Linked DNA regions of Struthio camelus. The protein of the gene in region 2 interacts with the protein of the main gene of each other region in a pairwise test. Links are inferred from orthologs where the notes say so. Each region holds a gene or a part of one and is shown on either strand. Other genes may lie near its edges.

The links.
Region 1: the proteins of OTX1 (region 2) and SPRY1 interact in binary tests that used the Homo sapiens proteins (3 or more experiments, as listed by UniProt). The two-hybrid records come from large-scale screens. The link is inferred for Struthio camelus from reciprocal best matches to the Homo sapiens genes OTX1 and SPRY1.

Annotation. Positions count from the first base shown.
Region 1 is NC_090945.1:18,748,648-18,752,387, reverse strand, and holds the start of SPRY1 (protein sprouty homolog 1), read left to right. Parts: upstream 1-1,503; 5' UTR 1,504-1,698; intron 1,699-2,436; exon of another isoform or gene 2,437-3,154; intron 3,155-3,693; exon of another isoform or gene 3,694-3,740. UniProt on the Homo sapiens protein: Inhibits fibroblast growth factor (FGF)-induced retinal lens fiber differentiation, probably by inhibiting FGF-mediated phosphorylation of ERK1/2. Inhibits TGFB-induced epithelial-to-mesenchymal transition in lens epithelial cells.
Region 2 is NC_090944.1:140,532,338-140,536,077, reverse strand, and holds the start of OTX1 (homeobox protein OTX1), read right to left. Parts: upstream 2,914-3,740; 5' UTR 2,830-2,913; intron 2,114-2,829; 5' UTR 1,715-2,113; coding exon 1,618-1,714; intron 1,188-1,617; coding exon 1,036-1,187; intron 904-1,035; coding exon 124-903; 3' UTR 1-123. UniProt on the Homo sapiens protein: Probably plays a role in the development of the brain and the sense organs. Can bind to the BCD target sequence (BTS): 5'-TCTAATCCC-3'.

The DNA.
Region 1 (3,740 bases), on a different chromosome or scaffold from region 2:
AATATAATTTTCCATGTTCTTTTAGTTGCCTTTTAAAACACTTTAGTTACTCAAAAAAAAAAAAAAGAGTAGAGATAACATTTACCCATAAAAATAATGGCTTTGAAAACATCACTATGATTTCTTCAGCATCATTACAGAAATACGCTGACGAAATTGTCATGGAACCTTGCCGATCCCAGTGTGGTAAGGCAGTAAAGGAGAAGTAGCATAATGGGGTAACTTGTAATCATCTCTGTGCTTCAGTACTCATCTATCACGTAATGGGAAGAGCACTTCCTATCCAATGGCAGAATTACGAGGTTAAATGCTTTGTGAAGTCCTCAGCTACTCCTTTCATGGGTTGAAAGAAGCAGAAACATTTTATGAATATAAACAAATAGCTATTACATCTGACTCTACCCTGCCTGAAAGACGATGATAAAACACATACAAATACCTCCCTGTAACATTACCAGAGGAGCATGGTAGGACTTCAGCCTCACCAATGCTCTCTTTTATCAACTGGTACCTAGAAATAAATGCACTCTTTCTACATTTGCCTGTGCACTGTCGTATTCTGTCATCCATGCAGATGGGGCCTGCTGTCCTTAAAAAAGGAGTGTGTGGGTGTGTGTGCACGAGTGCGCTGTGTGCAGGGATCTCTCTGAACTGTTTAAGCGGCATTAGAGGAAAACATCGGAAACTGTAAGATCTTTATAAAAGATGTTGCTGTAGGTTTCACTGTCAAAACCGAAGTGTCTCCCTGCATCCCTTTCCATGGGGTCTGGCATTTACAACTTCTAATCTCGTCCCTGCACAGCATTTTAAGGTTGATTTAAGGTTGATCTCTCTTTCCTGGGCCTGCAGTTTTTCAGCTCGACCTTTAGCGTAGCCCCCGAGTCGCTCCAGAGGACCGGGCCAGTCTCCTTGTCGGCAACCCCGGGCCACGCTCTCGGCGGGACGTGTGCACACGGGCTCCTCTGCGCTCCCCCTGCTGGCCGGGAGCGGCGGGGCGCTGGCGGCGGCGGGGCGGGGGGCGGGCAGGTGGGGCGCCCCGCGGCTGGGGGCAGCTGCAGAGCTGAGCTGGGACAGCGGTCGGGGGGAGGCGGGGGAAGCACCCCATGAGCGGCGACTAGGGAAAAGTTTGTCTTACCAGTGAAAAACTCATTTAAGAGCTACGTCATAAATGTTTCCCGCAGCCGCGCTCCCGGGGTCGGGATGCGAGTCCCATTTTGAGCACGTGCCTTTGAAGGCGGGCGTCGGTGGCTGCGCCCCCGGCCGGGAGCCCCCCCCCCGCCCCCGCCGGCTTGCCCGGGGCTGCGGCGGGCGGCGGGGCCGGGCAGCCGAGCGCAGGGCCCCGGCGGCGGGCGGGCGGCCGCGCTGCACCGCGCCGGCGGAGGCCCGGGCGGCGGGGGCGGGCGCGGGGCGGCCCCGGCGGGAGCGCTGGCGCGGCGGGGCGGGGGAGCGGCTCCCGGGAGGGCGCGGAAGTCCACTCCGGGATTTCGGGGGCGCTGCGCAGTGACACATTGACATCACGGGGGCGCGGCCGGGCGGCGGGCGGGGGCTGCGCGCTGAAAGGCGGCGGAGCGCGGCCGGAGTCACTCCGGAACGGCGGCGGGACGGCGCGGAGCGGCGGCTGCCTACAGTGCCTGGGGAGGAGCTAGCGCCGGGGGCTGCAAATGTGCCTTGGGAAGCGGACTTTCACCTTTGCCGTAGGTAAGCCCGAGCGGTGTTGCGCGCTGCCGCTGCACGCGTGCGGAGCCGCATCAGGTGCCGAGGGGCTGCGCTGGGAGCGAGGGGTTTCCCGGAGCTCGCCTCGCGGTCTGAAGGCTTGGGGGTCGCGCTGGCAGATGCAGACGGGAGCGATGCGAGCTGCAGGGCTGCTCGGCTGCTACCGCTTTATAGGACGCGCGAGCGAAACGCGCGCTGCGTTCGCCTCGCTTCGCGAGCTGGATGTGTGGTGTGGTCTGCGGCGAGCCTGACTGACTAGCTGGCCGTGCATCGTCTGGGCTGAGCGGCGGGCAGAAGAGCGTTCCCCTGCGTTCCCTGGTAAACGATGTTCAGCCAGTCACAATTTGTTGGTAATTATAAAACTTGCAGTTAAGTAATTGTGCCAACGCTTGAGTTGCCCGTCTTGCCTAGTGCAGATCTCACTTGCGTGCTGGAACCTTGTTTGATCCCCTCGAAATACTAAGGGGTCTTTAAAGGCTTTCGTGCAAGAATTGTGTGTCCAGAGTTGCCCTATATTGCACTTTTCTCCCTGACGCGCTGACTGTGCTCCAAGCCTGTCAATCAGCCTCCAACAGCAACAGCAAGCACATGGCAGTCTGCAGCGAGCTCTCAGAGCCATTACACTCTGCCCCTAGCTTCGTTTGCAGCTTGCTACAGTCGCTGAGGTGTGCCTTGAAAACAAGTGTCTCTTCATGATTTCTTCCAAAACATCTTTTGCATTAGGCATTACGGTTGCACTTTGTCGACACTGAGGTCAGAAGGGACTTGCAGCAAGGACCATGCGGTGAAGCAGAGAGCTGGACCCGGGGACGTTGTTGTGCACGCACACATCCAGCGTGGAAGGATCGCGTGTGACTGCTCCAGTCGGGAAATTAAAAAAACCCGAGTCGGCGGAAGAAAAGCGGGAATCCCGCGTTCCTGGCTCTGCAGTGTCTTCTTGGAGACCTTCGCAAGTGCCTCTCGCTAGGTGATCCTGCTCGCCGGTGCCTGCAGCAGCCTGCACCAGACGCTTCCCTCCCTTACGCTAGGCTGAGACAAACCATTTGCAGCAAGGGCTTGATTTTTTTTCGTCACCTCTAGGACGAGCCCGGCGGCCGAAGAAAGTGTTCCCCTCTGAGTCCCGCTAGCACGGAGCGATCCGCCTCTGCGGAGAGCAGCGCCCGCTCGGCGGACCAGCGAGATAGGGAAAGGCGACCGTTGCAGCCTGGCCCCCGGGAGAGGAGGGGAGCGGCGGGGAGAAGCGGAATCTCCCCTGCTCGCCGACTAGGACGCGGCGACCGCCGAGGGCCCCGCGGCCGGGAGGCGGCGGCGGCGGCGGGGTGCTGGCCCCGCCGGAGCGGGGGCGCCCCCGAGCTGAGCCCTCCGCCCGCCCGGTGGATCTGCCCTAATCGCCGTCCAGTGCTACGTGGATTTGCCGTTATTAGTGACTCCTTGGGAATAAGTAAGTTCGGGACTTTTTGTTTCTTTTTGTTTGTTTGTTTGTTTTTTAAATCGGAGCTCACCTAGAGCTAGGTGGGGGCTGTGCAGCCGGCGTGTTTGCACGTGTGCGCCTGGAGTGCCGAGCAGGTGCCTGTGGCGCGCACACGCACACACGCACACACTCACACACACACACACTCACGCGTCGCCCTCCTTGGCGAGGGGGGGAAGCCGAGCCGCACGCGTGCCGTCGCCCCCCCCCCCACACCTTCCTCCGCCTCCCCCTAAAATGCCGCCGCCCGGGATTGCGCGCCCTTCGCGGGGCCGAGGACTTACTGCGCCCGGGGAGCGGGGCCGAGGGCGGCATCAACGCCTCGGGGCGCCCTGGCCGTTACCCCGCGGCGGCGGCCGTTACCCCGGCGGGGGGAGGGGTGGGCGTTCGGGGCGACCGTTACGCGTGCAGGGGCTGGGGCTGGGGCTGGGGGGGGGGCGGCTAATGGACCGCTCGGCTGAAAACGAGCGTCACGTCAAAAAGCGAAGGGGGTGCGGGGGGGGGGGAAGGGGGGGTCGGAGCCCCTCGGCGAAGGGGCCGGCGCTGGCCGAGCCGG
Region 2 (3,740 bases):
GGGGCCAGGGTTGGTTTGGCTTTAACCATCATCATCATCATCACCGTTACGGAAAGGGGGGGGAGAGGGGAGGGGAGGCAGGAGCGGAGGCCGAGCCGGAGCGGCCGGCGTGGGGCCAGCCCCTCACAAGACCTGGAAGCGCCAGGACGCCTGGTCCTTGTAGTCGAGGCAGTCGGGGGAGTTGAAGTTGAGTTTCCAGGAGGCGGCGGCGGCGGCAGTGGGCTCCTTGTAGTCCAGGCAGTCGGAGGAGTTGAAGGGCAGCCCGGCGCCGCCGTAGCCCTGGTGGTGGTGGTGGTGATGGTGGTGGTGGTGGCCCGAGCTCTGGCTCAGCGGGTGGTGGTGGTGATGGTGGTGGCCCGACATGGAGGAGGGCCCCATGGGGCTGAGCTGGTGGGGGTGGTGGTGGGAGTGCATGGGCGCCAGGTAGGAGCCGCAATCCACGCCGCCGAAGTAGGACGAGGAGGGCGGCGCCGGGTAGCCTTGCCCGTAGCCCCCGCCTTGGCCGTAGGACACCGGGTAGGTGGCCGAGGAGGCGCCGGCCACCGAGCGCTGCATGCAGGAGGCGCCGCCGGGCGGCAGGGGCTCGGGCACCGTCACGGCCGAGGGCGCCGAGCCCGGCGAGATGGAGGCCGGGCTCCAGATGGACGAGGCCGGCGTGCTGAGCGAGGCGGCGGCGGCCGCCCCCGCCGGGGTGCCCAAGGCCGCCCCGGCGCCCGACGAGTTGGAGCTGGACGAGGAGGACGAGGCCGAGCTGGAGGCGGCCGGCGGCGTGAACTGCCCGCTGCTCTCCGAGCCCGAGCTCTCGCGGGCCGGCGACGACTTCTTCTTGGCCGGGCGGCTCTTGGCCCCGCCGCCGCTCTGCTGCTGCTGCCGGCACTTGGCCCGGCGGTTCTTGAACCAGACCTGGGGCAGGGAGACGGCGGGGCGGCTGTGAGCGCCGGGACCCCCCCCCCACCACCACCACCGTGCCCAGGCACCCACGCCCAGCCGCCAGCACCGCGCTGCCCCCCACCCCAGCCCAGCGCCCACCGGTACCTGCACGCGGGACTCGGGCAGGTTGATCTTGAGGGCCACCTCCTCGCGCATGAAGATGTCGGGGTAGCGGGTCTTGGCGAAGAGGGCCTCCAGCACGTCCAGCTGCGAGCGGGTGAAGGTGGTGCGCTCCCGCCGCTGCTTCCGCGGCGTGGCTGGGGGGGGGGGAGCGGGTCACGCCACCGGCCCGCGGGAACCAGCCCCAGCCGCCGCCGGGGGCCTGGCGAACATCTCCCCTCCCAAACCGCACTCCTCTCCCGCAGCCACCCCGGCCCACGGCGGGCAGCGGCGCCGACGGGAGCCGGGCCAGCAGCACGGGGACGGGGACAGGGACGGCGCAGGTCCGGCCCCGGTGGGAGCGAAAGGGAGATTTCGTTGTATTGAACTAAATCTCCATTTTTCTTTTTAGAAAAAGCCGTTTCTCCTTAAAAATCCCGGCGGGAACGAATGAGCGATGGGGAAAGGGGGTGGGGGGGGGAGGAATTCAACTGGGAGCAGTGCCCCTCTCCCGCCTCGCTCACCAGCCGGGCAGCCCCCCGCGGCACCCTCCCCGCCTCCGAACCCGCCCGCACGGGGGGGACTCACCCGGGTACCCCACGGAGGGATGCAGCAGGTCCATGGCGGGGCCCGTCAGCCCCAGCCCGTTCATGCCGTAAGGGGGCTGTTTAAGGTAAGACATCATGCTAAAAGCTGGGCAGGTTTCCTCCAGAGTACGGCGGCAAAAATAAAAACAAAACCAAACCAAAAATATTGGGGGAGAAGGGGGAAGGAAAAAAAAAAACCAACCACAAGGAGAACCCCCAGAAATGCCCCAAACACGGAGGCAAAAATAAAAAAAATTAAACTAACAATAATTAAAAAAAAATAGAAGAGCGAGCGAGCAAAACCGGTGCCAAAGGAGTTTTCTGTCGTTCCGTCCCGCCGCCACCGACGCGAGGTCCTCAAGCGATCGCCGGGCAAAGAAATAACAACAACAGTAACAATAATAACGAAAAAAAGAAAAGGAAAAAGAAAGTCAAAACGACGCCGAGGACGGGGAAACGAGGCGGCGGACGTCTTCTCGGCGGCGAGGCCGGCGCGCCTGGGGAGAGAGCGGAGAGCGGCGTCAGGGGCCGGCGGCTCCGCGGGCCGCGCAGGGGCCCGAGCGGGGGCGGGGGGGGACTGAAATTATTTCCCCCCCCTCCGCTTAGAGGAAGGCGAGTCGCCCGCAAGCACCGCGAGGCAGCAGCGCCCGGCGATGGGGAGAGATAAAGCAATTATTTAAAAAGATAATTGGATTAGGAGTCCAAAGGAGGTACCGGAGGAGGGAAGTATAATTAATTTAAAAGCGAGCAGACGGGGGACGTTTTAATTAGAAACGGCGAAGAGTTAAGGAGGGGGGGGGGAAAAAGGGGGCAAAGGGAGCGCGGAGGCAGCGCGGAGGCAGCGAGGCCGCGGGGGGCCAAAGGAAAGCGGCAGATAAGCGCGGAGGGAGGAAGGGGCGGGGAGGAGGCCGGGCTCCCCGCGCAGCCTCCGCGGCGGGCGGCGCAGGTGAGGCGGGCGGCGCCGTTGCGTAACTTCGCCGGGCCGCCAAGGGGGCGAGGGAAATAATAAAATAATAATAAGGAGAAGAACGAAACGGGATAAAAATATAAAGCGGCGCTGGGAAGGGGCCGCCCCGTCCCGCGCCGTCGGCGGGGGGCTGCGCGCGCGGGGCAGGGCGGAGCGGGGGCGCGCAGGGGAGGGGGGGGGCGCGCAGGGAGGAGGGGTGGGGGGGGAGGGGAGCGGTGCGGGGAGCCGCGCAGCGCAGCGCGTTACCTCGGCGTCGGGCGGCGCGGAGGGGCGAAGGGAGCCGCGGCCCGGCCGAGGATTGCGGCCCGCGGCGCGGCCCTACCCTTGTATGTGCGCGCCCGCCGCCTGCGTAACGAGCCCGGCGCCAATCCCCGGCCGCTCCGCGCCTGACTGACAGCCGCCGCGGGCCCGGCAGCGCCGCGCCGCGCTGCCTCCGCGCCCCCCCCCCTCCCCGCGCGCGCCGCGCTGCCCCGCGCTGCCCTCCCCGCCGGGGCTTTGCGGCCCGCGGGGACCCTGGCGCCCTCCCTTCTCCGCCCTCCCTCCCCTTTTTGGGGTGAGAAGAAGCCCCTCGCTTTCCTCCCCCCCCCTTTTTTTTTTGGGGGGGGGGAAGTTATGCGGAAAGTTGCACCTGGGAAAGTTGCGCGCGGCGGCTGGCGGCTGGCGGGGCGCTGCGCGGGCTCGGCCGGGCCGCGGACCTTCCGCCGGGCTCCGGGGCGCCGCTTCGGTCGCTCTCTCCAAATCGACTCCTTCTAATTGAAGCGGGAGCTGAAAGCGAGCTAATGTTCAAAGGCGCTGACCGCCGGCCCCAAGCGAACCCCGGGGGGGGTCGTTCCCCCCCTCTTTTCTTTTCTTTTCTTTTCTTTTCTTTTCTTTTCTTTTCTTTCTTTTTTTTCTTTTCTTTCTTTTCTTTTTTTTCTTTTCTTTTCTTTTTTTTCTTTTTTTTTCTTTTTTTCGGGCCGGGAGGGAGGCGAGAGGGGCCGGGGGGAGGTTCACCAGCTCCTCCGCTCGCCCACAGAAGTCAGCGGCACGGGCACTTCTCCCCGCAACAAAGGCGCCGCGGCCCATTCACAAAAAGGAGGAGGAGGAGGAGGAGGAAGGGCGGTGGGGGGGGGGGCAGCCCCCTCTCCCCGTTTGCCCCCCGTCCCGCCGGGGCAGTT